Linked DNA regions of Neodiprion lecontei. The protein of the gene in region 1 purifies or fractionates together with the protein of each later gene. This does not show direct contact. Links are inferred from orthologs where the notes say so. Each region holds a gene or a part of one and is shown on either strand. Other genes may lie near its edges.

Evidence for each region.
Region 2: the proteins of RILP-like protein homolog (region 1) and ras-related protein Rab-10 purify together in Homo sapiens (co-immunoprecipitation; 3 studies listed by BioGRID and IntAct, with this or other methods). This does not show direct contact. The link is inferred for Neodiprion lecontei from reciprocal best matches to the Homo sapiens genes RILPL1 and RAB10.

Annotation. Positions count from the first base shown.
Region 1 is NC_060262.1:28,339,173-28,357,284, forward strand, and holds RILP-like protein homolog, read left to right. Parts: upstream 1-7,469; 5' UTR 7,470-7,609; coding exon 7,610-7,909; intron 7,910-8,337; coding exon 8,338-8,479; intron 8,480-8,605; coding exon 8,606-8,733; intron 8,734-9,007; coding exon 9,008-9,378; coding exon of another isoform or gene 9,379-9,422; intron 9,423-9,719; coding exon 9,720-9,746; intron 9,747-11,367; coding exon 11,368-11,445; intron 11,446-11,589; coding exon of another isoform or gene 11,590-11,605; coding exon 11,606-11,704; intron 11,705-11,828; coding exon 11,829-11,952; 3' UTR 11,953-12,346; downstream 12,347-18,112. Other genes in the region: GTPase-activating protein and VPS9 domain-containing protein 1, read right to left, coding at 2,001-2,073; DNA repair protein XRCC2, read left to right, coding at 2,072-2,118, 2,202-2,844; sec1 family domain-containing protein 2, read right to left, coding at 2,970-3,186, 3,279-3,425, 3,599-3,701, 3,816-4,047, 4,187-4,315, 4,394-4,652, 4,863-5,050, 5,572-5,844 and 2 more; microprocessor complex subunit DGCR8, read right to left, coding at 15,469-15,801, 15,962-16,395, 16,626-16,903, 17,030-17,423, 17,746-17,829, 17,959-18,112. UniProt on the Homo sapiens protein: Plays a role in the regulation of cell shape and polarity. Plays a role in cellular protein transport, including protein transport away from primary cilia.
Region 2 is NC_060261.1:28,615,317-28,630,932, reverse strand, and holds the start of ras-related protein Rab-10, read right to left. Parts: upstream 6,682-15,616; 5' UTR 6,292-6,681; coding exon 6,165-6,291; intron 1,085-6,164; coding exon 1,024-1,084; intron 610-1,023; coding exon 471-609; intron 223-470; coding exon 133-222; intron 1-132. Other genes in the region: transmembrane protein 170A, read left to right, coding at 8,700-8,811, 8,907-9,012, 9,129-9,324; uncharacterized protein LOC107225833, read left to right, coding at 12,521-12,567, 12,723-13,149, 13,630-13,811, 13,906-14,924, 15,051-15,337. UniProt on the Homo sapiens protein: The small GTPases Rab are key regulators of intracellular membrane trafficking, from the formation of transport vesicles to their fusion with membranes.

The DNA.
Region 1 (18,112 bases):
GTACTTGCCATAGAAATGCATATATGATAATTAGTCATTTATTTAATTCCATGCTTGTGATCTCTCAAACAAATGTAAGGCAAACAGTTTACTCCTGTATGTTCATAGATGTGCTTTCATTAGCAATGTAGTGAAAGAAACCCAGCCAAACATGTAGCTTATGTAACTATCCAGATATTTTTCTGCATAAACCACATGACCATAGTTGATGGAATAATGGAATAGTAGGAAATTTTTTTTTATGCCAGAACACATTTTTAAACTGTAAAACAATTGTTTATTTTGAGACCAGAATGTGTAATCTTAATGTGACAAAGAAAATGAAGTAATTCTATGTGTTTCAATAATTCCAACAGACTGCCAGAATAGTTAAATAACTGAGATTGATACATTTGTATTCTTGACGCTGATACTATTATCAAGAGCCGCGTGTCTAAAAAATAACTATAACAAAAGACAACCTATATGATGTGATAAAACATGCAATGTATGTACAAGCTTTGCAATAATAAACGAAATGTGATTGCAAATAATCTATAGCGCTTGTAACAGTTGCAGGATTGAAAGAATGCAATCGTTAAATGTCTGAAGGTCAAACAACATTGTACTGAAAAATACAGAATGGGAAAAAATCTTCCGATGCTCAAGTTGTCCTGTTCACTCAAATCTGAAGGATTCAAATATCTGATATATTTTTAAAATCGGGCATAAAACAACCTTAGATGATGACAGAGGAAATGTCAAATGTGACAGTTCAGTACTCTGACACGTATTTATTGTTTTTTTTTTGTTTTGGTGTTTTGTTAGTGAAAAAATTCTGATCGAATTCAGCACCATTTGTTGGAAAATGAGTGTTTTATGAAATTGTGAATTACGGGTGAATATTGAAAATAATTCCTCCAGCTTGAGTGGAAGGGAAGAAAATAAATTCGAGTGACAAATTCACCTACGCCACTAAATATCTAGATCGCACAGCACTAAATCAAAAATATTTCTAAGCAAGCTATGTAGCACACCTGTCTGCCACTGTCGTCAGTAAGTAACGCGTTATTATTGCCGTCCTCCTTTCAAAGCAACACCCCCAACTGATTCACAACCATTTTCTATTTTAGGTTAAAATTTTTTTTCTGAAAATGGCCGTTTTGCAAAACTACAATATATGCCGTGATCACGGTCTTATCATGATCTATATGTATACACGGTACTTTAAATCGAACCTATAGTTTAATATGGTAGTCGCGGGAAATTCGAATGAATGAGTAACTGCCAAGTATTTGCACTGTAGATGCAATAATATATGAATATTGTTTTTCATTTCAAGCACATTTCACCCTCACAACAATAAAAACAAAGATATATGTACTATTGGTATACGTGCGTAGTCAGCCCAAACTTAGTCATGTCATATTACGGTGAGCATGTATGTTATCCAGCAGACGAAAAAATTATGGCATCATTTTGTCATCATGTGAATTATGCTGTCAGCCGATTTCCAAGGTTTCTTAATTTTGAACGTTTATTAATTGTTAAATATACTACCGAAAGTTGCGTAGACTCGAATATCACACATGTAAACGAGAAAAAATATTAACAGCTGATAGAAATAAAAATTAGTCGTGTTCGAACATACATTTTCTATAAACCTTGAGAGGTTACGACACGGTTACGAGATTCGATAATTATGTTTAGAAACAAATTATACCATGAGTTAATTTTTTCGGGTGATTCAAATGTAAATATGCATTTTTTAGAAATATAATTCCATTTCACAATATACCAGTGAAGCTCGTTTTGAAAGACATCAATGAAACAATTCCTTTCAAATTAAGCAGAATTACTGAGATTTGAATCATCATATCAATGAAGTACTTGACATAATCTTACTATGACACTTGCTTCACCTTTTTTATCTTCTTACAACAGTGCTTGTTAATTTTTCCTTTTTTTTTTTTTGCCTCAACCTGACAATGTAATTTACCCGTAGGCTAAATAGTACTGACCATGGAACAGTCCATACATGTGGAGACAGGAGCTCAGCTCCTGGCTCGGCTCATGAAAAGACCCATTCTTCATGGACTGGAAAAAGATCTATTCTCTGATGGTCCAAGGCCAAACGAGGTGATTGAAGTATCTGGCAACTTGTCGAGCGGGAAGACACTTTTGATAACTCAATTAATTGCAAAGTGTCTCCTGCCGCGCAGGTACAAAGGCATTGAACTGAACGGACGAGAGGCAGGAGTTGTACTTGTGAATACAGATCATCATTTTCACATACCTACTCTGGTTGATCTAATGGCCTGCTTTATACGTAACAACAATGATGCAAGGAAATTAGGTACAACAGATGTCTTTGATGATAAAGGCATTAAGAGTATCATTGAAGATTCTCTTAGGTACTTCACCGTTATAAATTGTTATGAAAGTAGTCAATTCTTCTTGAGCTTACAATCACTCCAAGGTATACTGTCAAACGATGATAAAATAGCAATGATTGCTATTGATAGTATATCGTCTTACTATTGGCAAGACAGGAAGCACGGAGAATGTTGGTCAATGGACGGATATGTGAAGAGCTGCTTGAACATCATGCAAAAGCACACTTTTGGTCACAAAATCATTCTTCTTTATACCAGACCCAGTGACGTCAAATCAAAAAGTAAAGAGGCTGTAGTTCGTACCTCTTTACTAAATGAAGAAAAAATTCATTATAAAATACAACTTCATAAACAGCATGATGTCAATCAGTTTTCAGCTGTGGTTGAATCCGTAAGTGATAACAAAAATCTCAGTTACATTGTAAGTAACAACGGTATAGAATGGAGGACATGTTACAGTAAACGGTAGAAACGATTTAAAGTATTCCTACTCCAAAAATAACTTTTCAACAAACTTATAAATCAGAAAAAAAAACCATATCTATATATATACAATTAAAATAAAATAAAGAAAGCATTGTACAGTGTCAATCGTTATTTACTTCCCGAATGTTTCAAAAGTATATGATTTGTCACATCACATGGACTCAACAGTCTGGACCCAGCTATTATGACCTGAGAACTAGGTTTTTTGGATACAATCATATCCTGAACGATTTTTATTTCTTCTGCAACGACGCCTCCCAATACATATATTATTACATAATCGTTATCAAGAGGATGTTGTTTTGTTCGACCCTTTAAAAGTAAACTGAAATAGAAATTGAAAAAATTACCCATTATAATCCATCTGTCGTATAGAGTATACCTATGTATACATATTCAAAAATTTGCTATACTCACTTAAATCCAGCGGTAATACGAGAGAACGTTTTACATTGAAGGTCTGGAATTTCAGGCCTATCAGGATCAAGTAAATCCATTACCAGTTGTTGCAATATTCCAATGCATTGAGCCATCTCTTGTGGACTGGGCTTGAGCATTAATGACCTGCAAACATGGTTACATATTCAAGAACAAAACTTTTTCTTTAATTCACCTACTGTTCATTTTTGTTTTGCATTGTAACAAGCCCTTTCACTAATGAAAGAAAAATTAAAATTAAAGTTGGGTTCAGAATATGTTCACCAAAAAAATTACACAATGTTAATACAAATACTCACTTGTACTTCTGCAAAGATTTTCGCATCTCTGCTATTCTGTGAAGCTTTACCATAATATCATTAGCAATTTGTGTAGAAGTTCCTTCCGTTAGTATTCGCTTGCCTAGTTAATAGGATTTCAAATACATTTGATCTATTATTAACATTCGGCACTTAAGCCAATGCTCGGATTACGACACAATGATTCTCAAACAATAACAACTTGTCAAATGCTCACCAAACAATTCTGATGACAGATTCATCATTGGACTATCTGAAGCTGGAGTGAGTTTATCATCGTGTTTACCATCTTCATATATTGCTTCAGCCAAGGCTTCTTCCAACTGTTTCTCTTGCTGTTCAAGAAAATGTATTTCTGTTCCAGCAAGAGCATATATGTACACTAATAATCCCAACAGATTTTCAATCGATAAACCTCTAGTGGCACGAGTCTTTATGATGTTACTTAACTGTTTGAACACAAAAACATTTTACTATTAAAATGACATTAAAAGTACAGTCAAAACAGTCACGCTCATAGGTATTCTTCTATAGTGGATACAATCAATGTTGTGGTACAATGAGATAATGAAATCATGCAATCCTTACTTGAGTTAGTATACTTGACGAGTCTCTGCTGACTGCTAGGTTCTGTAGTATTAGTTTTTCAAGACTTATTATCAACTCGATTTGAGATGTCTTATTTGATTTCAATGCTTGAATCACTGCTAATATTTGCTAAAACAAATAAGCGAAACTTCTTTTACATGCAAAATATTTGAATTGTATTTAATTAATTTCATAACTTGGTATTACCTGAAGCTTTTTACTTGAGTCTAATATGAGGCTCAAATCATCAACATTTCTCAACTTGTGTACAAGTTTTTCTAAGCTATGAGCTGTTATTCTAGTGGCAATTCTTGTTTTTGGACTTTCCTTAGCAAGCAATATATCTGACAGTAATTTGTGCAGAGTTATTAAAACATCTTTCTGTTTATTTTTCATTAATTGATTAATCATATTAGAATCATTGCTGGCTAAGCACCCTGGTGCAGAGTACCTTGGATTATTTTCACTGAGGATAAAGAGAAGAAGTATTTATTTCATAACTGACAATGAGTGTGATGGTGTTATAAAACCTTTAAGTGACTGTTTGAATCACTAGTTTAGAATGGTTTCAGGCCTCAGTTGGCACTTTACATAAGATTAAAAGGCAGCTCAACAAATAATGAATTTATGCAAGTTTAATCTAATGAATTTGTGATACTCAGCTTTTGATACTCACACACCATCTTCATCTGGGCCCAATGCTGTCATATTCACTGCAATGTCATTCTGATGACCAGGCAAACGTGGCAAAGTACTTAATATTTTGCCTAACAAGGACTCGGTATTGTGACTTGAAGCTACACAGAGATCCAAAGTCCTATCAACCAGAATAAAAGATACTCCAGTAGTTTTGCCTGTGAGGCGCTGGGAAAATAAATTGCATTAAAATTTCTTAATGATTTAGTATTATAGCATTCAAACTGAAAAACAAAACAGTTGAACGTTGATTATTCGAACTAATGGAGACAGGTACCCATTCGGATAACTAAACTGGAATATTGCATTGCGAAAAAAAAGTACTGATTTGCTCAAAGTAATATAATGTATTTATTTAAAACCGACCAACATGTCAGTAGTACATTTCCTCTATTGATTGGGACAAATTTGATACTTATTTTTATCTAATTTACAACGTAAGCTCGTTTATAGTAAAATGTAAAATTCAATACCAAATTTTGTTTTTGCACAGTTTTGCCAATTGGTAAAGACTACCAGCAGAAATCAAATGTATGTAAGGCTTAGTCGTACAGATAACCGAACATTTGGATAAACCAAATCATTGTTCGGATATTGGACAATTCTGATAACTGACATTCGAATAATCAACGGTTGACTGTATAATTATTTCACAATAGATATTATTGAAGTCTACATTTGAAATTCACCTTTCGTCTGTCAACAGCAGCCGGTAACTTCTCCAGCTTCTCTGCAACATTCTCACTCAATTGACCACAGTAATAGATATCTTCTCGGAGATTGAAATTGGTAAACATGCTGTGCAAGGAGCTAACAAAGTGATCGATGTTTTCATTGAATTCATCACAATGATCTTCAGTACTAAATGGTGGCATTATTTTCCAAAATGGAGGAGTCACAAATAAATTTTCATTAATAGATGCTATGAAAATTGGGCGGAACATTATGTTGACAACAGGCTCCTGTGAATAAATTCAAAGTTTAGGATTTAGAGAGAAATTCAAAGAGTAAGAAATCCATCAAATATTTTCTGGTACAAAGATTGATAGTTTCATCAGGAAATTCATTTAGTTCTGCATTCTGTGTACATAATTGGATAAATGGATAAGTTTACCTGATCGAATTCCTCTTCTAATCTTGAGCTCATCCATCTGATTATATCATGTTTGAGACAATCGTAACTGTCAATATCAGCCGACTTAGAATCAGAACTATATTTCAAGACACTGCTGTGTGCAGCACATATGACAGTGCATTCTTCGAATCTGTTCAGATCGATAATTGTTTCTAATGTATGTCGATAGAAATCAGAATTTGCAGAGGTGTATACAAAAACTGCTTTTCTTGCCTTCTCGACTTCAGCGCCCTGAATATATGTAAAAAACAGAATGGCTTGTATAAAATAATAAGAAAATGCGAAATATTTAATTAACAACTTAAATAAAAACACAAGCTACCAAATCTGTGTGAAAAATGATTTTTTCATCACTATTTTAAAAAAATATCAGAATTAAACTAGCAAAAATCTTACTCGGAAGTTGTCCATCAATAACTCACGAACAGCAATTACTCCAGCATATTGCAATTGCTTAATTGTATTGTCACCTGTGTACCAATGTAAGCATTCCACCGCTGCTTTATCGATATAAAAAACAGCATTGTTGACATGTTGGAAAACATCCTTCCAACAATTGTCCGTAAAATATTTAACTTTGTTATCCATTTGAAGAGACGAAAAATTTCGCGAGCCTAGGTATTACTATGGACAGTTTTAACAGTTGTATCTTCTTCTATATAATTCACAGCACCTTCCTTTCGCTGTTTGTCTCCTGAAAATAAACATACAAAATAACTAATGACACGTATCGCTGACGATATTTCTTTTCTTACCTACCATTCATGTCAGCATGACAAAACGTTAGCAGACGACAGCGTGATCTAGCCTGACACCTCGGGTTGTTTTGGCAATTGGGAATCCCTAGGAGGGTTGTTGAATAATTAGGTTCCGAACCAGAGGGTCTCAACTGATTCCAGTTCCGAACAATCTTTGAATATCACTTTCTGGTTCTTAAACGTGACCGAATCCCCTAGGCGGACACGGAGTCACAGGGAAGTATCCGGTGCCCTGCGTGCCTCGGCATTCGATAAATTTGCGTGACGAGTCTTTCGGTTTCGATGAAATTTAATGCTCTACATTCTAGGTGAATCTCTAGCACAGCAGTTTGTTTGAAGCATCAGACATCTACTACAGAAATAAAATTTTACCCTAATTGATGGAACAACCCATTCTATGTTCAACGATTTAACTTTGAATTGAGGCGATGCCCATGCCGTTAACTTTAAAATAACTCCCTACTCTTTAGGGTACATCATTATTGTGCATACATACATGCATACCGACGTTTTCGCAGTTCGCACGACTACTGCGAGAATTTTATCAGATTTGTCATTACACGTTATTAAGTGACGGGAACGTACACATAGGTATGCGTGTCGTAGGTTTTTACTTGTGTAAGCATACACGAAGCACCGACATGACGCACACACATACATGACATATATATATCGGACACACTCGGCTGTCAACCAGCCGCAGCCCATACGGAGTGACTGGCTCTGGACTGCGTATTAAAAAAGTGATACAGACCCTGTGTATGGATTTGTGTCGGCAGTTGAATATTTTCTGTTGCATATATAAATAAAGAGGCTAATTAACAAGTGTAATTAATGCCTTTTCATTTAATAATGCATTCAGAAATGGAAGAATACGAGGCGGACGTGTCCGTGGTGGACGTGTACGATATCGCTTCGGAAATTGGAAAGGAGTGTGAAAAATTGATAGATGTTTTCGGGGCGGATTCTGTAACTAGTCTTATGCCAAAAGTCATCAACGCGTTAGAGCTCTTGGAACGATTAGCGACTAAAAATGAACGTGAAAATACTACTGTTCAAGAGCTCAGATCCAAGATTTCGCAGTTGGAGAATGATAAAATTGAAAAGGCAGAGGATAGGCAAAGATTTGAAAAGGTTAGTGTTTTGAATTGAAGTGAAAAAAAATTATTGTTGACAATTATTATCTTGAAATATTCAGTAGTATACCTTGGATCATTATCATCCTTCTTTCATAAACTAATATATATATATGTATATATGTATATACATGTAGAATCAGAACTATAATTAAATGACGCCTCAATGAAGTGTCCTTCATCAACCATTTAAATATTAAACAATTGGACATGTTATCCATGTAAACGTACAGTTTACAAAGAACTATTTGGATTCCAAACATAAATTTACAACATTCTTGGGTAGCAATCGAACTATTCAAACAATTAGTCACTTGAAGATATGTGTGTTGAGTTATCATTAAACAGTTATCAATTTTTAAATTGTAACAACTCAATGCATTATTTTATTAAAAGTGGTACAGTATGTATTGCAATTATTAACAGGAATTGGAACAAATCGAGGATCATTGGCGACAAGAATCGCGAGACTTGGTGGGTATGGTAACTAGACTACAAGACGAGAATCGCCGGCTAGCTACAGCCTTGCAAGAATCGCGTAGCGACAGTGAGGACAGCGGTAAACAAAGTACTAACCCCCTCCCTGTTTGTCTAATTGTGGAAGTACCACTGCATGTCACCAATTAGCAATGTAACATGAAAGCTTGTATGAAAAATATCCCCTTTATGTACCTACTTTCATATTTGGTTTCAGCATTCACTGCTAGTCAAGAGGTAGATGTTGCGGTACTGCAACGTTTAAGAACCATGATCGATCAACAAAGGGACCAAATTCGAGCTAGGGATAGAGAACTGTCTCAAAAAACTTTGGAAATTGAAAATGTAAGTTCACTAGCTATAAAATTTGACCATACTACTTGAAAAATAATTTACAGAGGAAAACTAAGACTCGATGAATGAATCGAAGCGGTCTGGAAGAGAAAGAATTGCTATGCCAAAAAGATTAATAAAGTCAGAGTATCAGAAGTTTTAGTTTTTTTGCCAATTTCAATTGGAATCTACAATAAATAAGTCAAAATATTATCATGATGCAATACCTATACTTAACATAATTGATTGATATTTTCAAACTCAATATATTTCTTGTAAAATCCAGTTGAGTGGTCAAGTTGAAAAACTAGGCGTTGTGGGCCGAGAATTAAGACGTAAACAGCGTCAGGCACAAATGCAAGCTAGAGGACTTGTTGAAGAACGAGCAGATTTTCTTGCCCAACTTCAAGACCAGAATCGAGAACTAATTAATCTTCGAGCACGTCTTGGTCTAGCTAGAAAGGAAAATGAGGACCTAACAAAGTGCCAGCCAGCTCCTGATTTTGCTAACAAAGCAGTATACGATTTGGATGACCCAGACCGGCCTAGATTTACCACTGCTGAACTCAAAGAAATCTTACATGAAAGGAATGAACTAAAAGCTAGAGTTTCCGACCTGGAGGATGAGCTTGAACTCTACCGCCCTAAGCCTGAGACGTACGTCGAGATGTTAACGCTATCTAGCACAGCACGTATATTTTGTATAAAAAGTTTACGTCAGCAAAAATTAACAGTCTAACTTTCGGTTTTTTTTTTATTAATACGTACATCGACCTCTACTTTTCATTTTATTTACTTTTTTAAAAATATATATTAATTGGTAATTCAAAATCTAGGTACTTCGCATTGAAAATTTTACAGATAGTACCTAGCTTATAGTACTGATGTACAGGACATACTCGACACAACTGTTTAGTATCTTAATGTAGACAGTATTTTTTACAGCTAACCATAGCCAAATTATTATGGTCATATTATATTATTTTCAACTACTCCAGGACCTTGAGTTGTGCAAGCCCGTATAGGTAATTTTAATTTAAATGAAGTTTATTTTTTATTTTTATTTTGTTATTTTATGTGTTTCATCTCCTGTATTATTTCATTTAATATGAACAGAGTTCGTTATTTTTCATTTGAGTCAGTCACTTTATCTCATGGAATTTTATTTTTGCTGAACATAACAATGCCATAAGCAATGATGTGAAACGTATCAGTTTATCCAGTTACTATTACATGCTGTGATATTGATGTTTGGTTGCTGATAATACAGATTACAAGAATAATGTACCGTAATGAAAATGGAATTCGGTATGACATTATGAGATATTAATTTCAGACTGGTCAAATAATAAACGATCATTATCATTTTGCTGTTAGCTTTCCTCATGCAATACTTCTAACTACACATAGTATATGTTCTTGATTATATTATTTTCTAATTTTCTGAGAGCAATTTACTCATTTGGAGTTAAAGGTTTCCTTTACCATTGATATTCTGCAACTCCTTAGTAAAATGTTTGCACAAACCTTCTGATATCCAGTCACTTTTGTTATTAGTTAGGCCAATAGTTTACCAATAAAAAGTGAATACTAAAATCCGTACCATAGATGGTATGATTTTCTTTCCAGTATTAAAACTATGTATACATTAGACCTGTCCTTAAGGAGGGCAAAATCGAATTTTAATGGTCTTACCCCCCAAATTGGTTCGAAATAATTCAAAAAAAATGTCCGAATTTTTAAAAATTTTTCCCTCCATATTTACCCACGCCTAGGAAGCCTTACTTTTCCCATAAGAAAAGCATTGGTTTTTTGGGATTTTTAATAGTTTTTTGACCACCGCCGTAATTATCAGCTAAAAAATTGCAAATTCTCAGAAAATGTTGACAGGTGTGTTACCTTTTTGTCCAATTCTTTGGAATTCGATACAAGCATTTTTGGGCTAGATCGATCACATCTTTATTCTCTAAAAACGCGGAAAAGAGTCGATCGATCTAGCCCAAAAATGCTTGTATTGAATTCCAAAAAATTGGATAACAAGGTAACATAACTGTCAACATTTTCTGAGAATTTGCGATTTTTTAACTAATAATTACGGCAGCGGTAAAAAAACGATTAAAAATACCAAAAAACCAATGCTTTTCTTATGGGAAAAAGTAAGGCTTCCTAGGTGTGGGTAAATATGGAGGGAAAATTTTTTAAAAATTCGAAGATTTTTTTTTGAATTATTTCGAACCAATTTGGGGGGTAAGACCATTAAAATTCGATTTTGCCCTTCTTAAAGACAGGTCTAGTATACATATATTAAACCATAGTCAATTCAACTTAATTCAGCTTGCGGCTTTTATCAAATTTAACAGTATGTTCTTGGGCATTAGAACTGGAATGAGTTATCAGTTTTTTTGGATACAGCTTATAATTAATTTTGTGAGATGTTCTGCAAAAATCAGATTCGCATTAATCCTCATATAATTTGAACAACATGAAAAAATGTCAATTCCTACTATTTGAAGTTAAAACAAACAGTAATGAGTTGTTTCAAATGCAGCAAGTCGTTGTTTATCATTTGAATTTGCACGCTTTTCAACCGCATGGCTGTTTGATTTGACCTACACTTACTACATGTGCACACCAATCTTGAGGCAGTGGGCAACCCGCGATTCCATTTAGTAAAGGACAGAATTACATCGCTACTTCTCCTGCCACAGTGACTAATGTTACTCCGTAAGATTGCTCCTCAGCTATGCTAATCTAATATTAAACTATAACTCAGGCTATATTTTTTTTACCGAAATGCTTCCTTTACATTGAATTTTATATTCTCATAAACCAATTTGATTGATACGTGAGATTGTTTTATCAAAGTAGTGTTTGTTTATATTAGCCCCGAAGATGACAAAGATGCACCAGTACAAGGACCATTACCCTTCGAGCCAGATGATGCACCTTGGAAAAAGTCATCAGAATCTGGGATTCGCAAATTGTAAGCATGTTACATAGGAAGAAGTTTATCAATATAAAATAAATTTCAAAAACGGGCATTTACCCAATTTTTTCAATGCATGCGTTAATCTTTTATAAGTGTACTAACTACCATTTCTTTCTAGCTTCCGCAAAATATTTTCTGAAAGCAGTGGCAGTTTTTTAGGCAGTAGCAGCCCAAGGAGAAGTCTTTCTAGTCTCTCCAAAATGGCATTGTCTGGCAATGGTGCAAGTGATACATCGATTTAAACAGTCAATCATTAATGGTACTGAGTATGCAAAATGGTATTTGAACTTCGTGATGTACAACTCATTATTAGACGAACTTCTTATGATATTAAATAACGAGATTCATACTATCAAATGTCGAAAATCTGTTGAAAATCTTTTAATTTAAATAGTCGTAATTGATTGAAATCGCATTTATTTTGCTGTTTGTATATACTATAACTGTTATTTCAAGTTTCATTTTTTTTATCGTTCGAAATGAGAAGTCTAATCACTTTCGAAAATTGAATGATGTATATTTATCTCAACTGAATAGAAAATACGAGTTAAAATATATTATTATACTAGAAGTGCTGTTATGAAGTATGTATATTAACCATCAGCATTAAACACATATCTGTGCTTGAAAATTCAATTCAACATTCCGGAAAAAGTCTAGTGAATTAGGACATTAACATAAAAGTAATTATTCATCTTTAATGATATCAAACAAAGCTTCCTTTTACGAGTTTACAGAAATTGCAATGTCGAAAAAAATATTTTACTACATCAACACTAAGTAGACTTATTTTTATTATTGATTTTGACAGCACCCTCATTTAGATATGTGTGTGTGACACACATACACATATAAAAACATATCAAATCTCTTAATTCATATTTACCAAAACTCCTATGTACATATGCCCTACCACAAAATACATTGTACTTGTGAATTGATAGTATCGAACGTTAAACAGAAGTCCATTGCAATGTATTCATAGAAATGTTAAGTACATATTAAGAACACAGGATCCACGTAAAAAATAGGTAGTATAATTTCGAATTTATCGTACAGGGGTAGAAGACCAATAAAGCATCCTACATTTTCTGGTTTTATAAACTTTATAGCAATCGTATCCAAATTATAACACATGAAAAAAGATTACATGCTCAAGCTTAGAATAACTCAGTCACTGATGAAATTTAATGAAGTAAATTTGTTTTTGAAAGGTGTAATACCTAGTATCATATAGTCTATGGCAAATTGCAGTTAGTGATACAACAGTGATTAATCATTATTGTCATCAGCCCGAAAATGATGCTGAATGTATAACTCGGGAATCTTAAATTTAAAACATATTGGTAATAATGAAGACCAATTGTTTTTACATGCTTGCATGAGATTGTTCCACTAATCTGGTTGCACTTAAATTGTCTAGCTTATCACTTTACATTGACTCACGGTCTTTCTAATATTGGCGACTACTGATATATATATATATACACATACATATATCTATCTACAATCATTATCTACTTGATTTTACTTGATTAATCGAATGAAAACCATTGAGGAAAACGCTCTCGGAATCCGCAACTTGCTCGATTCTATCAGAATTCGACCGTTGATGAAATCCTACCGTTTTGACAACTTTTTCCCGTAATTCAGTTAATCGATAAAAACTTAATTACAAAATATTGCATTTGACGAAAAATTCTTTTGTTAATCCACGACGATTTTTCAGAGAATGTGAGCGAATTTAATCAAATTTTATGATCTATCCTAAGTTTCAAAAAGAATGTTCTTTTGGTAAAAATCAGAGAAGGTAGAATTCCAAGAGTAACCGTATATTGCTGAAATGACCGTAATCCGAATTGTACAAAGACTTCCTTGAAAAATTATTAAAAATATAACAAACTCCTTTGCAGAGTAATTCTTAGTCTGATAAACAACTTTGAATAGCAATATGCACATGATTACGTTTTTCTGCATAAATTTTGTATTAAAAATTTAGCAGCGCTGCGTTTTCAACATTTATTGTATTATAGAGTGCCAAAATGAACATTACTGTAGGATTGAACCAATAAAAGTTTTAAAAAAATTAACAATACGCAATATATAGATTTATGTGTCTAAAACTGCTTGCCAGTATTCTTCAACGACACTCCAATAAGTTAATGCAGCATTACAGGTAGCAAACTAGTAGTATGGAAGGCAATTATTGAAGACTAATCGTGAACAATTTTAGTACATATCGATTTATACATAATATTGGTATCTATAACGCCAACGATAAGCTGGTACTGAAGAATATATTGATTTGATGAGTGCTACTGTATCCGCTTGACATTATAACCAACAGTTGACACGATAGTAGTGCTGAAGTAATAAAAAGGCTTTACAATATAGCTCGGGTGATCTGGTAACAAAGATAGTTTTAAAAAAAAAGGGATGACGTGCTTCTTTTTTTTTTAATTACAAGTTGGTATGTTAACTACTTATTACAAGTGCAATACAGACTTAATCTCACTTTTGACGCATACATTTTATATCAAGTCTTATGGATGAGTAAAGTCAAGTAACTGGACAAGATTACCAATTACTTGATGCAAAACTTACAATTACTTAAACTGATAACTATCGACTGGCAGTATGTGAGGATGTATGGGCATTTCCATGTCACTGGAGTAACTTTTTATAACTTCTCGTTTTTCTATTAAGTCATTGTAATCACCCCAAAACTGAAAACATGAGTTTTCATAAGATCTTCATGTTTTGAAGTCTAGAGATTCTACTCCAATCATTTTCAGACGAAAATCTGCGTGTGTGTGGTTGTATGTACGTAGAATGTCCCTTATTTCGGATGTCGACGAATTTTAAGAAAAAAGATCAGTAAAGTTTCAAGCCACTATATCAATAAGAACATGTGCCTCCATAAGTAGATGCAAAGAAATTCTGGTGAATAAGATTTTTTGGTCAATATCAAATTGTTTAAATTAAAAAATTCCAGCAATAAAATAAAAATGATACCTTAAGAATGAATGAATGGATACGAATGAGAACTGGTACCATAACATTTTTTCTAAGGTCAGATTTGCAAAATTGATATTTGGCGCATTAAATATTCAATGTGTTGGGAAAAAAGAAATTTAGGATTTTGTTGAAAATTCGTACTCAAAGGTTTTTTGGGTCACTGATTACGAATTTTACTTTGGGCTTCCAAAATTTGAACTAATGATTATTGTTGTTATTATTGTTATTATTTCAGTACGAATGAGTTTGAAAATGAACAGTTCAAAGCTTGATTCATGGTCAGTCCAAACCTGCTTGTTTCAATAATGCATTGAAAAAATAACAAATACTTTTGGATGAAGCTGAATATAAATATGAATGCAACATTCTTTAATTCAATGCGAGGCTCGAGACATTATAGTGAAAAAGAAATGAATTATTTATGTATCTTAATCTGAGAGTTCTACCTAAAACATGTCTAAATTATATCAAAACTACCTCTGCACGCTTCACGCGACCACCCAAACCGTTGGGAAAAATAAGGATGGAAAGCCCATGCACATGTATAAGTGTGTTAATCTATCGATTTATATACTATATTGTTTATTCAGTTCAGTAGCACCAATATGGTGCCTTAATGCACTATGTTATGAAACAACTGGGGGTTGAAAAATTATGATTCTACCTGATTACTTTCAATTACTGACATCGCGTTATTTCCTATTTACGAATATTGATTAATGCTAAATTAGACTAGAGTGTTATAAGTCAACATTGTTTAAGTTAGCAGCAGAACCGGTTGGTAAATCTGGTGGTAGAAATTTACCTATTGGTTGAATGGCCTTTCGTTGTTCAGCCAACATTCTCATTTCCTGTCTAAGCTTACCTAAAATTGCATGATTTGGCTGATTTACCAAAGCCTTACCCTGTAGCAGCGTGATTTCCTGTTCTAACTGCTTTTTTTCTTTGAAAGATTTTACACTCCGTGATCCGTACAATCTTAACAGTGAGCCCCATGACTGTATGTGCGGATGTAATCGTTGCAAGATTGCTTGTGCTGCACGTTGTTTACCATCTTTTTTATTTCGACATACCTTTAATCAACATTTTAATTCAAAGAAAAACCAGCACAACCCACTAATTCATTTACTAAGATATGTTTTTGCAAATCTTACACTATAATCTACGTTACAATCCATTTCATTGTGCCTGTTAACTTCAGAAAATATGTATTAGAAGCAGTTTGTTACTTACCACAGTAGCTTCATGTTTACCAACACGCATTGTGAACTCATTGCGTTGGTGTTTCAACGTATTCACAGAATAATTTATATGCATATCGCCAAGGCCAAAATTCCTCTGTAGACAAGTAATCAAAATTGCATGAGGTGAAGGCTCTGTCGTTTTTGCACAAAACTCAGCTACCCGTGGATCAGTTATTGTAATTTCGTCAAAGAAAGAGAGGTCAGCCTCCGATGTCCCTCGTGAAGCCTTGAGAGCCCTATTAGAATTATTTCCAGTTCCGTCTCCTGACTCTCCTGAAATCTTATCACGCATCTGAGGAATTAGGATTTCGAGTGTTTTGCGGGCTGCATTGGCTTTTGCTTGTTTTTTGCTGCTACCGAAACCACTGCCATATTCCATTTCATTTATGCAAACCACTGCTGAGTATGGCGTCGACGCATTTTCTACAAATTAATGTTTTACTTTTTATTTGTGTATTGGCAGGATAAAATTATTTGAGAAACGTGAAAAACTGTTCGATTTATATGCCGCTTTTGCATATTTAAGCATATTTTATTCACAATCAAATAAACCGCTGATATTTATTTATAATACCTCGTAAACAATCAAAAATAATCATTCACAGCAGGACAAATGAGGATCCTTCCAATAAAAAAGAAGATAAAGGTCTCACCTAACTCCTTAAATTTATAAGTTGGCTGCTTCTTCAGAGCATGTTGTACATATTCATGCAGAATACACACATAACTTTTTCCAGACGGATTCATAATCCAGTGTTTTGGAGGCCTTTGTCCCCCACTATCATCACCTGCAATTGTACTATTGTTCCCAGATACTCCAGCTCCACCAACTGGAAAGGTTATTAATTTGGTGCCATCAGGTAATGTGGGCCGTTCCAGCTGCTTGCGATGCTTCTTGTTCTTTGTAAACTTTCTTCGTGCTGACCACGACCTACATGACAAATTTTCAGAACATGTTCAAGATTGTTATCCATGAAAATCAACCATTGCTTCTGAACGTTTCATCTTGGCCAAATAGAATGTAAAGTAAAAGCTGAGTGAAAATATTTAGACGTACTGAAATCTCATGACTTTAATTGCTTTGAAGCGAAACAAAGCTTGACAGTAGTTTCTGAGTTGTTCACTGTCTAGAGAATGTGCTGCCCTATTTTCTTGAATAGTTTCAATTTTAGCACTGGGTAAGCTACACGTCTCTGCAGCAGGTTCTTTTTCTCTTTCCTTTCTTCTCTTTTCTTCTTCTTTTTCTTCCTCCTGCAATGCTCTTCTGTACTGCAAGCAGGGTACAGCACTGACAGGTACTTCATGCTTACGCACACTACCTGGTCCAAGGAAATATGGTTTAGCTAATGTACAAACACGACTCTGCTTGTGCAAGTATAACGGAAGGCCACTGTTGTGGGTCACTTGAACCCACCCTTCTGGTAGAACGTCAAAGTGATTGTGACCAATTTCTGAAAATTTAACATACATTTTTATATAATATCAATCTTGTAGTACTTTTGGATCAAAGAAAATAGAAAAATCTTATCCAGGTTTCAGAGGATCAAAGTAATCAAGTCCTTGCTGATTGAAACAACACTTGAGAAATAGGCAAGATGTGTTACATCAGTTTTTGAAAAGTTCCAAAGATATACATATAGTCAATGCCTCTTTAAAACATTACTTTTTTTTACTTCATGACCTTGATAATAAGCTAAGTATGCTTTTAGTAATTAGAATTTTGCTTCAATGATGTATGAATGTTAACAGATTTATTCAATTATAATATCGTACCATCTAAAACCAATTTTTCTTTTTCCTCGTACGGCATTGCGTCTGATTTTTTTCTACGCTTTCCTTTAAATTCGTCAGGCAAACCTGCAAAAAATAACTAGATATTAGTAATGTATATTCACAGTGGCAGTTCTGACTCACATTAGGTGATACTTCTGATGTAAAGCATTCATTTAAGTGAAAACTTGGCAGTCAATAAAATTGTGAACTAACCCTCTTCGAGCATGGCTTCTATTTCTTCATCTGGCACATCAGAATCCATACTATCAGTTGATTCTGTCTCAGAATCAGAGCCACCTTGATCTGGGTGTCTTTCCAAATCATCGAGAACATCAAAATGTCTCAATTCATCATTGGTACAAGGATC
Region 2 (15,616 bases), on another chromosome or scaffold:
ACCATTGCTTGAGTCAAACTTTTGTATAGTTTTGTGCTCACAAATCGATCCGTACATAGTTAAGTGTAGTGATTTTGCGAATAAATTAAGATTAAATGATCAACTATCCTGTAGTTATAAATTGATACTCACTGCCTCGCCTCTTTCCGTACTAACAACGCGCTTTTCATGCATGTCACACTTGTTGCCCAATATCATCTTCTCAACATCCTCATTAGCGTGCTGGTGAAAAAAAATATGTATGAGCATCTGTGTGACAGGTCGACATATGTTAGATATGCAAATCTTCGAGCTTGTATAAAAAAAAGTAATTGATATGCGCGTTTTTTTCTTCTTATTCAGACAGACCTAGCAGATGGGTACGTATAATAATTATATTCTGTGCTGGATAAAATCCTGTTTCAGCGTTTGTCGATTAGCACTGTTTTCCCATGAAGCAGACATTATAGAACGATATTTTCGATACTCACTTCATCAATGTATCTCAGCCATTTGACAATGTTTTCGAAGCTCTTGCCATTGGTAATATCATATATGAGCATGATTCCCATAGCACCTCTGTAGTATGAAGTTGTTATAGTGTGGAATCTTTCCTGACCAGCTGTGTCCCTGAAAGATGTTATTCGTCATACATAAGTGCGTAATGTTCTACTACAAGTAATTTTGTGCTGGCAGATATAGGACAGTCATTTAACTAGAAGTAAACATCCACCTTTGTACTTAGATAATGACATGGAATTTTTTATACACAACTTTCCAGAAAAACATAGACTTCGATGCAATTGGTAGGAAATTTCAAAGAAAACATACATAAATTTTTATAGCGAGTGGGGAAGAAAAATGAGCTCATATCACTTTCTTGACTTTTCCAACTCCCCAAATGGCCAGATTGTTTTCAATATTACACCATTATGTGTAATGGTAACAGACCGAACACTACTGTCTTTTGCATAAGTAAGACATTCTTAAAAAATCGTTGAAAAGCCGACTTTGATGGGCATTTTTTGAAAACAATAAACTTACCATATTTGTAGTTTGATCTTCTTCCCTCTCAATTCCACTGTTTTTATCTTGAAATCAATACCTGAACACGAAAGTTGTTTTATTATTACTATGATTATTGACACTATTAGTATTACATCACATTTAACATGTTTATTATGATTGTAGAAAGTACAGAAAAATGTTAGGAGTAAAAATTAGCAGTAAACTATTATAATAACTTGAGGTAGTATTTGCGTTTTAAAATGTTACCTCCCACAGTACCATAAGATAGAATAAGAGAACTCTACACTAGTGATGAGCGTACTGTTTAATGAGTTTTGAAATCTACGACCTGCCTATAAACGTTGTTAGTCATGGACACGCATTCAGTTAAATCGCTGTTGAAATCACCGTGAATACATTCTCCTTGCACAGTTGCTACAATATTACTTTTCCCTGTTTTTGTTTTTCCGTTTGTAATTTAGAATAGAAATATATTAAGGATCATTTGTTACAACTTCACTACAGATAATCGATGTAGTAATAGCGATATACATATGCATAAATAGACAAGCCAGACCGCAGCGAAGAGAGCCTCAACAACGTTAGAAGCAGATTGTTTTAAACTTTTTTTTGTAGAGTGAAAAATGACAAATACGATCATGAAACTTTTTTCACTGAAAACAGCCAACATCATCAAGTATAAGTAATTTCCTCTGATTGTTATTCGAAAGTCAACGTAAAATAGCTTCTTATCAACATCTTCAGTGCCTTATCTAAGGAAATTACACATGAGTAGTGAATCATGTCCATTACACATTTCTGACTGGTATGAAGATTACCATTTAGGTATTCCACCAAGATAATATTCTCTATATGTGAATGTGTTAAATTAATGTGTTAAAATGGTTTCTGGATTGTTTGGTAAGAAGACATGAAAATAAAATTACAAATCAATTGTACCTTTGTTCATCATGCAGTTCATGGTAATTAAGCATCTGATTGAGACAAGACAGACCGAAACCAAAAAATTTACCAGCAAAGCCAAGACTAACATAAAATAACCACTGTGAACAAGGACTTAATCAGTTTGGATGTTGTGTTTTCTACAAGTAATTATTCAAGTTTTCGGTACGTAAAAGTACATAATAAAATCTGAGGGACATGAAATTATCTTGTGATGGTTCCGAACAAGTAGACGTTGGCTGTGAAAAACGCATGACTAAAAACCTGACGGTAATTTGCCATTGATTAGGTACAAAAGTAGCCACGGGCAAAGCAATATGGTACCGAGAAGTAAGCTATCACTAGATCATTTCAGGTGAATTATTTGAATAAAAAGATGCAGAAAACTTTGTGCAAGGCAATCTTATGTTTTGTTATGTTGAGTTAGTGCAGTGTAACAAATAGTTTGGCGACTGTTTTAAAATTAAATACAGCATAGTTAGAGCAGTACATTTAAATTTTGTGTTACCAAGTATCACAGTCCGACATTTCCATTGTTAATAGAAACTGGTTTGTTTTTAATAATAAGTGCATGCGTCAATTTTTATCTTTGTCATCTACTTCGACAACTGTCTTCCATTAAATATTAACAGATACGAAAAATTGAACAGCCTAGGTAGAGTGAATTGAGACCATAGCAGGGAGAATTTTTCAATATTTATATTCCACCATTGATCTACTGATTTTAAATGCCTGATGATTTTTTGATATATTTGGATAACCTGTATAATATTATTCTATCAGCGAGACTACAGGCCAAAGATTGAAAAATACACACCAGAGGAGATGCTTCTGCCGAGAGATATAATCTGTCTATCTAATTGAATGTTCAGATCTATCTACAACTTGAAAGAAAATTAAAAATGAAATATAAACATGATTAATTAACAAGAAAAAAAAAAAAAAAAACATAACAATAAAAAATAAACCCCATTGCCGAAACTGAATTCCAGGATGTGAAAAACTTTTAAAACAATTACCTGAGCATCTTTCCAAGTTAAGGAATAGATCGCACAGCAACGCCAATGGCAGTGGGGTGCCATTTGGAGGAATGCGCGGTCAATAACTCAGTCCCGGATCAACCAGGTAATGCGGCAGGAGCATCTCTGCAATCCAGTTGTCGACGGTACAGGCTATGTACAGCCTTCCACAGCTTTCCCGCAGGAAGACGATTGGATACTACCGTGGGCCTAACGTGACAAGGGCCTAATTAAATTTAATAACGTTCGAGCGACCCGAGAAATTTGGAAGACCGATTGAAAGGGACAGACGTCCGTCACGCGTGTCCACAAATGTGGAAAATGCTACTGACTGACGGAGGAGGGACATAGGTAAAGGATTAGCGACAAGACTAGCAAGGAAAGATATATCAAGTTCTCTAAAACAAACTTTCACTACCTTCTACTACCTGTCCCGCTATGTAATTTATCCTGCAATCGACCAAAATTTTTAAACTTATTTCAATTCCAAACTTGGTCTGAAGACTCTGTTAGTAGTACTCGCAATCACAGCAAGTGATTTAAACAATAGTCATGCAGCCCATGCAAACTCTGTATTCATGAATAAGATTTAGCGCATAGTTTTACAAAAAAATTTTCCATGAAAATGAAATTAAAACATGAAAAAGATGTGTGTATATACTTTCATGTTGTAAAACAGTCTGTTAAAACTCGCATACACAACCAATACTATGCCATTAATATTTAAATACAAGCTTAAGTGCATGTCTACGCTAAGTAAATATTGCAAATGTGTAGTGTTCACATTTTGTGTTGATTTGTAATGATTTCTGGAAAACGTACATTGCACAGGGTGACCTGAGACTATCGCTCCATAGGCTATCTATGTATTTCTCATGAAAATCTGCAGCTGGCACATTTGTTTTTTTTTTCATTTCTCATGAGAAATTTATTATTTGTAAATTACAGCCGTGTGAAGTTGGCCAATTCAGTAGCGTCTGATGGCTCACAATAGCACTGGCGGATTGTCATTTGACTGTCATTCGCTGACCTGCTGTCTTGTTCACAAACAAGAACTTTTTTACCAAAATTAAATAATGTTTTTGTCGCAGGTTTTCGCAAGAAACACAATAATAGCCTATGGGGCGATAGTCCTGGGCCACCCTGTGTACAGGATTTGAGATTGTGAAGATTCAGCAACTAGGTACCAAAACAAATAACAGCTAATAGCAATAATCAACTGATAGTTGCAACTGGTTTCAAAGGATTCCTAATCTCTATTTTGAACGAAGTTCTTGACAAGCTCATTCTGATACGCATGGAGGTAACAGTTTTTATTTCAATCTGACATTACTTGCTGCGAACTGAAACTTGAGTTATACGTTTCTCAACCATATCGCATTCATTTAAAAATTGGTTTATTTGATATCATTGTAATTGAATATTATGTATCAGAAGTTTCGATTGAGCAAACTTGATCGAAAACTCGTAACTATCACCAATACTAAATTCCAATAATCGACAAATAAATTATCGGTATTAAGTTCATAATTTTTTGCTTACCAGGTTTCAATAACCTACAAAGAACTACTTACTGAAATTCAGTATCAAAGTTTTTGATCAAGCCTGATCGATCGACACTTTAGGTATGTATAGTATTCCTCGCCAAATATATATTGTTCTGCTCGTAATACGTACGATATCTTGACAGTTCAAAATGTTTTTTCATGGTATATATACTGAAATTAGTATTATAGTAGTACAGACTTACAATAGTAGTAACAATAGTAGTAAAACAAGAGATACTATCAATGTTCACATACAATTGATACTAAAGACAATGACGCATGAGCTTTCACTGAAACAATGAATAACAGATACCAAAATGAAGCGAAAGGCAGAGGTACTCGACATCGAGTGCCTCATTCATTATTTCTAATCTATAGTTGACTCAGAGTGTAATCCATGCGTCATGCCTGTAGTGATACCTCCCTTAACACGATTTTAATATGAAATATTATTAAATGTGATAAATAAAATCGTGTCTCCCAAAATACCAGGCCTCAACCACTAGGATCATGGAAGCTATCCCTGCTGTTACTTTCCAAATTAAAAGCAGCCCCCTGATATACATATTGCAAGAAAAATAAACATGAAAATTAAGAATCGGCAGAAAGCTGAGTATTTCACTAACAATGATGATGAGCTAACCACAATATTTTCATATCACAATAGATCGCGCTGTCCAATAGACACTGATTATTTTCCAGCATCAAAAAACAGGTTAACTGATTAACTTCATGATTTTATTTTGTACCAAATGCCAAACTATTCCCAGCAGCTTTGAATCACCTCAGCGGTTAATGAAAATTGGAACGGAGTAAAGCAAGAACCATCTCATTTGTGTACCATTAGTCACAACTAGTAACTCGAAAATGTTTCCGTCACACTTGGAGCCAATTTTTTTAATAACTCGAAATGATCAAAAGTTTCCATCAACAGTCCCATGTTCGACATTGAAAAATTAAAAAAGCTTATCGAAGAAGCTTGATTTATTTTATAATGGAAAGTCCATGTGGGACAGTGTTATTTCCATACAACATTTAGCAATAATTATAGAATCAAAAAAAGTAGTCGTTACAGATTGTCTCTCATCTTATGGTAATGCGGTGAGATTGCAATAAATGAAATACATATGTATAATATAACGAGTTAAATGGAGAAAGTGTCTGCTACAGAATATTCCTCTACTCTTTGGAAGGGTTTACTCGCTCATCTTCAATATATCATATATTATTGATCAATTTAAATGATCTGGCTCGCATAATGAGACTGTACCTCAATAAAAGAAATATCTATTTATAGTCAAAGAATTTCAGTCTCGGGGAACAAAGCATGCAGCAGCTAGACCGCATCCTATGCGTTTTTGTACCAACGTATGTGGTATTAATAATTAACATATTCAAGGATTAATTTGACTAGCAATAATAATATGGCGCGTATAAGTTGCAACATTTTAAAAGATGACGAGTTTTATTGAAGCTATCAGTTCGATACACGTACACTATCGTGCACGCAATGCGTGTTTGTATACGATGAATTTTTTTCAACCTACCAAGTACAAGTCATTTGTTTTTACAACTGTGTCGTCATCGTCGGAAATGAATGTGTAACGCACTTTACATAGATGAGATTAAAGAAGATAATATTCCTTACCTATCGTAGAGAGAAATGTTGTCGTGAAAGCATCGTCCGAAAATCTGAATAAAATACACGTTTTTCCAACACCAGAATCGCCAATCAATAGCAATTTAAATAAAAGGTCGTACGTTTTCTTGGCCATCTCACTCGAAACTCGTGTTTCCTATGTACGTATCCTCTTCCACGGCTGTGTTTAGAGTGAAAACAAGATTTAATTCTAGAAACAACCAATAACACTCGGGTTTTTTCAGATTATTTTTCGTTCTTTTCTTTTTATAGTAGTATATACTGAAGTGTTGCTTCTTTCGATGACCGCAAATTACTCGAATCGCATGGAGATTGCGCGGTCACTCTGGTCACTCCTTGTCTTTTTTTTCCACCACAAGCCGTAGCTATTTTCAGAGTGGTTGCGATGAATTTAACGGAAATAAATCGAACGAACGTCGGATATTATTGGATCGTGCTAACAGGCTACTACGTATCCTACGAACTCATCACTTGTATTAAATTCATCGGTCAGCCCGCGAACAAAAAACCATCTCAAGATGGCTGACACGTGGACGTTAAAGGAGGATCAACTCGACGTGTGCACGGATAGCTGTCGAACCATATTACGTGCTTCCGTCGCAAGCCTGCGCTGCGAGCACTTGGTCCGATAAATTAAGAATTAGATTCAAACTGAATCACGAAAATGAACTAGGACATACTTACAATCAGCAATTTTGGTTGCCAATATCGATTGTGTACTGAAGGACACTAGACGAGCGTGGAAAGACCGCGTAATGGAATTAACATGAGGAACTTGTGGGTATAATCTTTGAGAAAGAACTTGTGTAAGAGTAATGATTTAACATACAACTCACCTTACTTTGCTCAAGCAAGAGTAATGATTTAACATACAACTCACCTTACTTTGCTCAAGACAGGAGTTGTAGTGGGCGGCATGTAATCTTGGTGGAACTGTGAAGACACCGTAGATAAGTCGCGATGTTTTGAAATTATTTAATTGTTGACTTTTAACTTTACCGATATTGGAATATAAGTACATACGTGCAATTTTCTCAGTTACAGGTGTTGATTATGTATTTGATCTCTTTACCAACAGAAGTACTCCATGTAGGTAGGGTTGCCTATAGTACGGCGATAGTCTATGGTCTCCCGGAAAACCTTCTCAGTTTAAAAGTTTTTTTGTGTTTTAATTTTATTGTTTTACAATGGGTTATTCAAAGTTGTAATACCTACCCTCTGGGATTAAATCAAGTTTTGTATGTGCAGTGATATTTGTTAACGAAGTATTGTTTATTTTGCTATACATGTCAATATAATATTTCATTTAATTATTTTTGGAAGAAATATTTTTACAAATACCCAAGTATTTTTGTTATATGCTTTAAACTACTTATGACTACGTAATATCTACTAGTTACACTTTGTACAATGTTTATAGTTTATAGTTTATTTTGTTTTTACTTAAAGGTATGTTTCTTACTAACTAGTGGATTTACACCCATCGACATAGAGAATGGACTGCGAGAGTAGTTCAACAATGTATCTGCCGAATAGAAAGAGACAGATTGCAGTACGGGCACAGAATCCTTACAAAACATATACGGGTCGATTCGTGTCCTCGTTGCGTTATGTCGATGAAGATCTTCAGTCAACAGCGGTCTTTAGAAAGAGACAGGGATTGTCACTAATAATTCTTTATCTTGCTTCCAGAGCGGCGGACATATTCCGTGCATTGCTTAGGTAAGGGAGACATGATCCATTCTCTATGCGGATGCTTATACCGAGGATCGAGGGTCACAGCGTTGACTGAAGTTGACTGAAGAATTCAATGCGCACTTTTGCTGCAAATCCAATATCGTTTTTCCCGCGTCGCAGCTGCTCCCCACTCTTTTGATCGCGCGACGGAAAAAGAACAGCCCAGACTATGTCTGTCCTTCGGTCTTAGCTTCAGTGGCCTGTAAGACCGCGCAGTCTCAACTCTTTATAAGTCTATGGTACATACGTACCACCACCAAGCAGAGAGCACCAAGTACACGCATTCTCATACAAGTAGACTTTTGACAGATCTCGGTAAAATTTCGAGTCGAGCTTCCGGGAATTTGACAGCCAGATGATCTGACATAAGTAAAAATATAATTCACATGGCATGCTGATCAAGTTACTTAGGTAATAAAATTACTGCTGCCCTTCGCTTTTCAATGAAGTTAATTTAGTACTAAGAAACGCATCTACATATATATGCATATGCATAAAACTGTCACTTCTTGTTCGCTTCTATTTATTATCACTAAAAAATATTACCTGCTTGGGAAAAATCACTGTAATTTTATTGTATCATATATCCAATTGCCCTCTCGATTTTCACACATATCAACGTTTGTTTAACGTTTGAGCATTATTTATTTTGTATCTTGATGTTTTTGTAGACAATGCTGTGTTTGTACCATTAATTACTTTGTGTTTATCTTCCTAGGAGATTTCGCTTCATTATGATGAGACCTCCCTCTGATGGTACTTAATAGCGTCTTTGCTTGCTAGGCGATGCTTCACAAAGTGATTTCAGCTACAGCAATGTCCAATGAGCCAACACCTCTTACTGCAACATCAAATAATGATGAAAATGCACTTTACAATCCACTCAGTTCATTTCTTCGTATGTAATTTCTTCCTAAAATTAATTGGAAATGGTTAATTAGATTTTATGGCACAAACACATTTTGTAATTTGTCATAATGTATTATTTTCCAGAGATGTGGTATCAGATATTTCTCTGGGCATTATTTTCGTCCATATTCGTCCATACCATTGCAGCAGCAATTTGTTTTGCCACATTACGAAAACATAAATATGGAAAGTAAGTACATGGATGTCTTTTGTGTTCTTTGTAGTTTGAAAAACACAGAGCATATAGTTGTATTTGTTGATTTCCATTTTTACCCATGTAAGGCAGGATAATTTTATTTGATCCAGGTTCTTCCCACTGCTAATAATAATAATGGGGGTATTGCTGCCGTTAACATCAGGAATTCTGAGTTCCGCAGCAGTAGCATTTGTCTACCGTGCATCAGGCTATCAGATGCTGCCTTTATATGCTTTACTGTGGGGTATCGGACAAACTGTAATGGCTGCTTGTGTTGGATTCACAAGGATATTAGCTACTTTATAACAGAAGGTTTAAATGAACGATGCCAATATTGTACAGTGAAAATTATGCAGATGAATATCAATAATTAACCAGTAAGAGTCCCACAAAAAGATGGGCATTTTCTTATGTAAGTTTTCTATATAAATGTAATTTTGTGAGAGCTATAATTCATGGTAAGACAGAAATCACTATGCATCGAAATATCCTTTTGATTTCACTTTGAATCACTAAATTTTATACTGATTACTTTGGACAATTAACAAAAGTCTTTCGATATACTAGATACAGTATCTGTAAACATGTATGTATGTACGTCTCCCGTAGTGGATTCTGACCTATCGAAGGTCACTGGTATCGGCTGCTACTATTTGTTCAACCTGCACAGTAGATGACACAGTTGACCTTGAACTGATGAGAATCCATCACAGGAGGTGACATAGAAAGAGAAAATGTGTGTGTTACCAGGTGTAACCATACATCAGGAATTGGTTACATTGAAGATGTTTCTTCATTAACCACTGTTGCATTCTTTAATAGTGTAACATAGTTATCGATATCAGGTGTTCGACGAAGCTCTAGTAAGTAGTATTGACAGACTGAACGTTGTAAATTTCCAAAACACTTATGTAGATAAATACTTAAAATATAAGAAATTGTAAATGTCATAGTATTAGATGATGATGATAAAAGAGTTGCAGATAAATTGTACCTACTATAATGTAGTTTGCTGGCTGCCTGAAGTTCTCTGTTCCTCATACTTTATGTGTAAATCACACATAATGCAGAATAATATTTTTGTGCAATCAATTGATTTTGCAATAATTTTTATAAAATACTGTGTTTTTTCTTCTCTCTGTTACAGACGTCTGTAGGTGTCTACATACGATTTGTAAACCGGGAGTTCCGCGAACAATTCAATGTTTTGTTCCCCCCCATGATCTTCGATTACATCTATAATTTTTCTCTTACCGTTTGAGCTCTAAGAAGCCCTTCGGGCTATTGAAAAGATTCTAGATCAAATTGAACCAAAAACTCTTCAAATTATGCCGAAATAACCAGAAACAAGTTCTTTTCTGCAAAAATTTTCTACACCTTAAACCCTTCAGTTCTTCATATGTGATATAACAATGTCAAATCCTATTTTTCACGAAACTTTATACGAAATGAATTATCAGTATTCATAATTTTGCGATTCATTTAATTTCTTTAGATTAAGTATTTACACATGAACGTGCGCTTATAAAGCGATAAATTATTTCCTACTCTGAAACTAACTTAATTTTGTGTGAAATCAGCAAAGACATGTGATTCTATTTTCTTCTCATATTTTCCTGAAATAAATTCGTATGAATGTTTCAAGCAGTATTGAATTTTTTCAGTGCTTAGTCGAGGCTGAAGGAGAAGATTATTTTAGGAAGGATGAGTATGCAAATGCATCTATTTTATACAAAACATTTTCCTCTAAACTCAATAGTTTAGGTGAAAAATATGATGTAGATTGTAAATTGGTCATTAGGCGGTGCAAAAAATGGAAAAAACGTGCTGCTTTTTTGGTGGTGAAAACGTGTTTCTCGTCATTTGAATATACCTTAAAAATTTTCTTGGTCGAAATCCGTTTGAACAGATTTTCAGTTATGAAAAACACCACACTTACAAACTATTATCAAGATTAATTTCCTCGGCAGCCAGAAGTTTTACCTCAAGGTCCAAGCTTAGTAGAAACAATTACAGATCAAATCAGAGATGATGTAAGGAAATGCATATGACTTCTCGTGGAATGCTAAAAATATTAATTTGACAATACTTTACACAACGTCTGAACTTTACTTTCAATAAATTTTATCCTACGCGCTAACTTTTAGTTCAGGGAGATTTCGTGTTTTGAACAAGGCAGCAATAATTCGTCCCAATACGTGATCAACATAATACGTATAGCGTTAAGTTCAAATTAGGTGGAGGGAAATACGACCTAGATTCAATATCATATCGGGACCCTGGAAATAAATGTTAAGTGTGAAGAACTGAATGCTTTCGAAAATAAATATTAATCTAAAATGTAGCTTAGATAAGACAAGTTACGTTTTTTTGTTTATATAATGTCTATTAATATTAGTGTCTTTCGATTTTAAATAAAGTGGCAATTGGGTTTCTATGGTTAATTCTTATAAACCAATAAACGATCTCTTCATCCAAAATAATCTCAAAAACCTTGGTTCGATTATACCAACAAAAATAAAGCGACTCATCTTTTGGTACGATTATATTAAATAAGTGTTAATCATTCTTAGATTCGCTCCGATTATAGGGTTATACAAGTTTTTAAATTTAAGGGACCCTCAAACATATTACAATATCTGCAGTCAATGCCTCAGCTCCTATTACCAAAAAAACAGAACCCCGCAATTTTTTTACAGATTTATTAGATGCTCAATAAGATATCCTGATGTGTGCCAGAGAAATTAAGTACAAATTTTTGGGTAAAATTTTTTGTAATATTTAAAACGATATAATTTGACGTCATTTTTTTTGTTGGTTTTACAGAAAAATGGTTCCTTCAAAAGTTGTTCGTTGTATTGGCCTTTATAAAATTGGTACATTACTAGTAAACACGGACATCGGTCGTTTTGTTTATATTGCCATTGATTCGGAAAATTTTCAATGACATGTCGCAAAACTCATTCGACGTTTAGAACAATCTTTCTCGAATTATTAGTCTCAAGTTACCGCGCTACGTCACATAGTTGAGCAATAAAGTGAACAATAAGCGACCTACGCAAATCCATATTGCTTTGATAACTATCGGCAGATTTATCCTATGTTGTGCAAAAAAATCATGGTGCTAGTTTACAGCTTCCAGTACCTATTTTCATACTGTAACACCTAGGAGTAACTTTAAAAAGAAGATAGCTGTTTTTTGAAGATCTAAAATTTCAGTGCATACGCAAATGTAAATAACTTTGTTTATTTTCAAATTATTCAGACATTTTTCAAGTTTCTGATTACTCTTTCGATACATATAATTTAATTAAAAAAAAAGAACATTGCAATGACTTGATCAGAACCGGAGATATGGGCGTAATTACCTTTTATCTCTTTTGTTCATATCTCTGGCTGCGGATTAAAGTACTGCGCATGCGTCATTAAAGAGAGAAATAAGAGGTCATTTTCGTCTTTCCACATGCCATGCGTGACCACGCAGCATGCTAAACATTTGTAAATGGCGTTCAAGCGGGATCATCGGAAGCAAGTGCCATGGTTTTCGCTGTAAGTAATGATCACTAGCAAATCTTGGCCTTTCGAAAAACTGGACTTTCCATTCGTCCATTCGTCGGAACGGTTTGAAATTAATTAGCCTTCAAGTGTCCTTTCCGAATTGAACTCGCTGTCAACATAACATAACCCCCAGTTGTACTTTTCAGCACCGAGTGGCACGACGTGTACGAACAAATTTATTCCAACGATACGGTTGAGCAGATTAAAGGCTACAAGAGGCTACTAGTATGGAAAGCGAGGCTTCCGAAATTGCCAGTTGGCGTCGAATGCACGCTGGCTATTATGCAAGTCTGCCTCAGAGACAGGGAAATCACCCCAAAGATTGACAAAGGAGATTTACCGGCTTATTATGAGAATGATCTCTGCCTGATGTACTCAACAACGATCATGAGGTTCCTTAATCACATAACCAACATCGGCGAAACTAAGCAATCTTCCCTTTTTCAAATAGCTAAACAGCTTAATATTCCACGATGGATTGTCAACATACGACACGATGCTGCACACGGCCATGAATTACCATCACTCGATGTATTGCGTATAGCTACAAATATACTACTCGAATGGCTACATGTAAGTTAAATTTTTTGCATATTGTCATACCAAGAAAGGAAGAACACTATGAAATCCATGTCAGTACTTGCCTAAAATTAAAAAAAAAAAGTTATAAACTTAGGATTGGGAATGTGAAATTTAGAAATACTTCCCCTAGGTATATGTGCAAATTAATTTTGTAAAAAAACAACATTTATAATCTACCTAGTTTATAATAATACGTCAACATATTTTTACAGTCTCAAACTGCTTGAAACTGATTCAAATTGTTGAAAAATGTGGCAATTTAGTTGTGGAAGTTTTGGAAAACATTGAACGAATTTAACCATTTTCTATCCGGCTTTTTAGAAGAAGGTTCAGTTATGATTATGAAATTCATTTGTCACATAACTCTAATGGTGGATTCGCCTTGCAGAAACAGTATTCTCTGAGTGCAGGTTCCCCAGTCTTCAGCTAATGAAAGGAATTTTTATTTTGATTCTGTTTTACATTTTGAAGGAAGAATATTGGGCAACAGAATTGAAAGCTATGGAAGATAACATTACTAAACAAGCGGAAGAAGAGAATGAGCCAGAAGAAGCACAGACGTTAACGGATTTAATTGAATTGTGGATCGCAGTTGGTTTATATATCCATGCTGGTTACACCTCGATAAAAGACATACCTGATGCACAGTTAAGGTAAGAGAATAAGTTTACAGGAATAATTGGTGACTATAGATTTCATTAGATATAAAGTGAAATATCTTCTATTTGTTATTCTTTTTATTGTTAGAGAAACGTTGAGTAATTTACGAGCATATGCTTTGATCTTGCCAAACAACGAAAATACAGAATACATCGATATTGACGTCAATACAGAAACTCGAAATGACACTGATCCCTGTGATGATGAGAAACACGAACTGGTAGCAGAACAAAGCAATCTTTTGTGTCAAATATCTAAATATTTGAGCAAAAACAAATTTCCACCAGATAAAGACGAAATTATATTGAATGTTCTACTTGGAGGGGAAGCATTCCTTCCAAGCGAAGAATTTCTTGAGATATTTGGGAGGAGAAAGAAATCAAGTTCAGATACTGAAAACTGTAACTGTCTTCCATCACGTTTCATCAATTTTTGGCAAGAGTTTATAACAATGTTACATGAGAAGGAAATTTTACAAAAACTAATACTGCGGCTATTGGAACTGATAAATGATGAGACAGAGAATGAGCAAAAGCATCTTATTGCATCTTTGTGGATGAAATATATAGCGTCTAGTCTGTGCAAAATAAAATTAGCTCACAAAATCAAACATAGGTTGGAACATGTCGGAGAAAACAAAAGGAGGAGAACTTCGTCAACCATATTGTCTCTCAAAGTTCGAGACGAAGTTGATAGAAACTTTCCCGAACTTAGAGATATTTTATGGCTAAATGTCTTAGGTGAAATTCCCAGTTTCTTGACTGATATAGATTTTGTTAGAACAATCATTTCTAATCTGAATAGCAAATTTTCTAATCATTTCGTTGAACCACTTTTGGAACTGATAACACCCAGCATAAGGGATGACGTCAGGGAAAATCTTATTCATTTTATCAGTATTTATACAGCAGGGCAAAATATTGAAGACCAGACTGAATTAGTTGGTAACGAAAATGTCAAAACCATCAATGATTTTACTGCATTGTTTGAAGATCATATCAATGAAAATATCAGAAGTGATGAGCGATTGGAACAGTTCAATTTCGAAGATAATATTAAAATAGCAGATCTAACAACCAGAAATTCAAACTGGATACTTGAAAAAGGTACAGTTATTTTATCAACTACGAATTAGTATTTCAGTTTAAACCCAACCACCAGAAGAATATCTAACTATAGGAAAAATGGCATATTTCGTTCAGTTAACTGTAAAACAAATTTATTTTTCGTAGAAAAAAGTGTTGATTGGGGAAGTTGTCCAATTGGAATACTACCGTGGCAGTTGGATTCGATGGACACAGTGGATACAAGTTCGGTGGTCAATATAATAAGTGACACAGGTTCCAAAGATGTTGATATTGTACCAGGAATTATCAATAGTAAAAGTTTAATGATGAGAAGTAAAATAAATTGGAACAGCGTTTTGGGAAAAAAGAAGAGACCAAAGTGGAAAAAAAATCTCGGAAACATTGATAACATGGTCGATATGGCAATTCAAATTGTGAAGAAAAACTGTTGAATTCAAAACGTCCACTTCCGGTGTGTATTATGGACGTTTTTAACAAATTTATATTTCGCAACATGTTCCTTGCACCTAGTTTAATCGAATGTACACCGACTCGCAATGAAGTATGTAGAATTGCCAATAACAAATTTTCCGTAAAATGATTCGTCGTAGCTGAAAGATAGGGCACAAGTAGGTATGCATATGCACTTCCGGGAACTGAGTAAATGCTAATGATTTCAGACAGAGTTTATTTGCTTCAGCGTTTAACAAAGTTTTCTTTCGACATTGAAC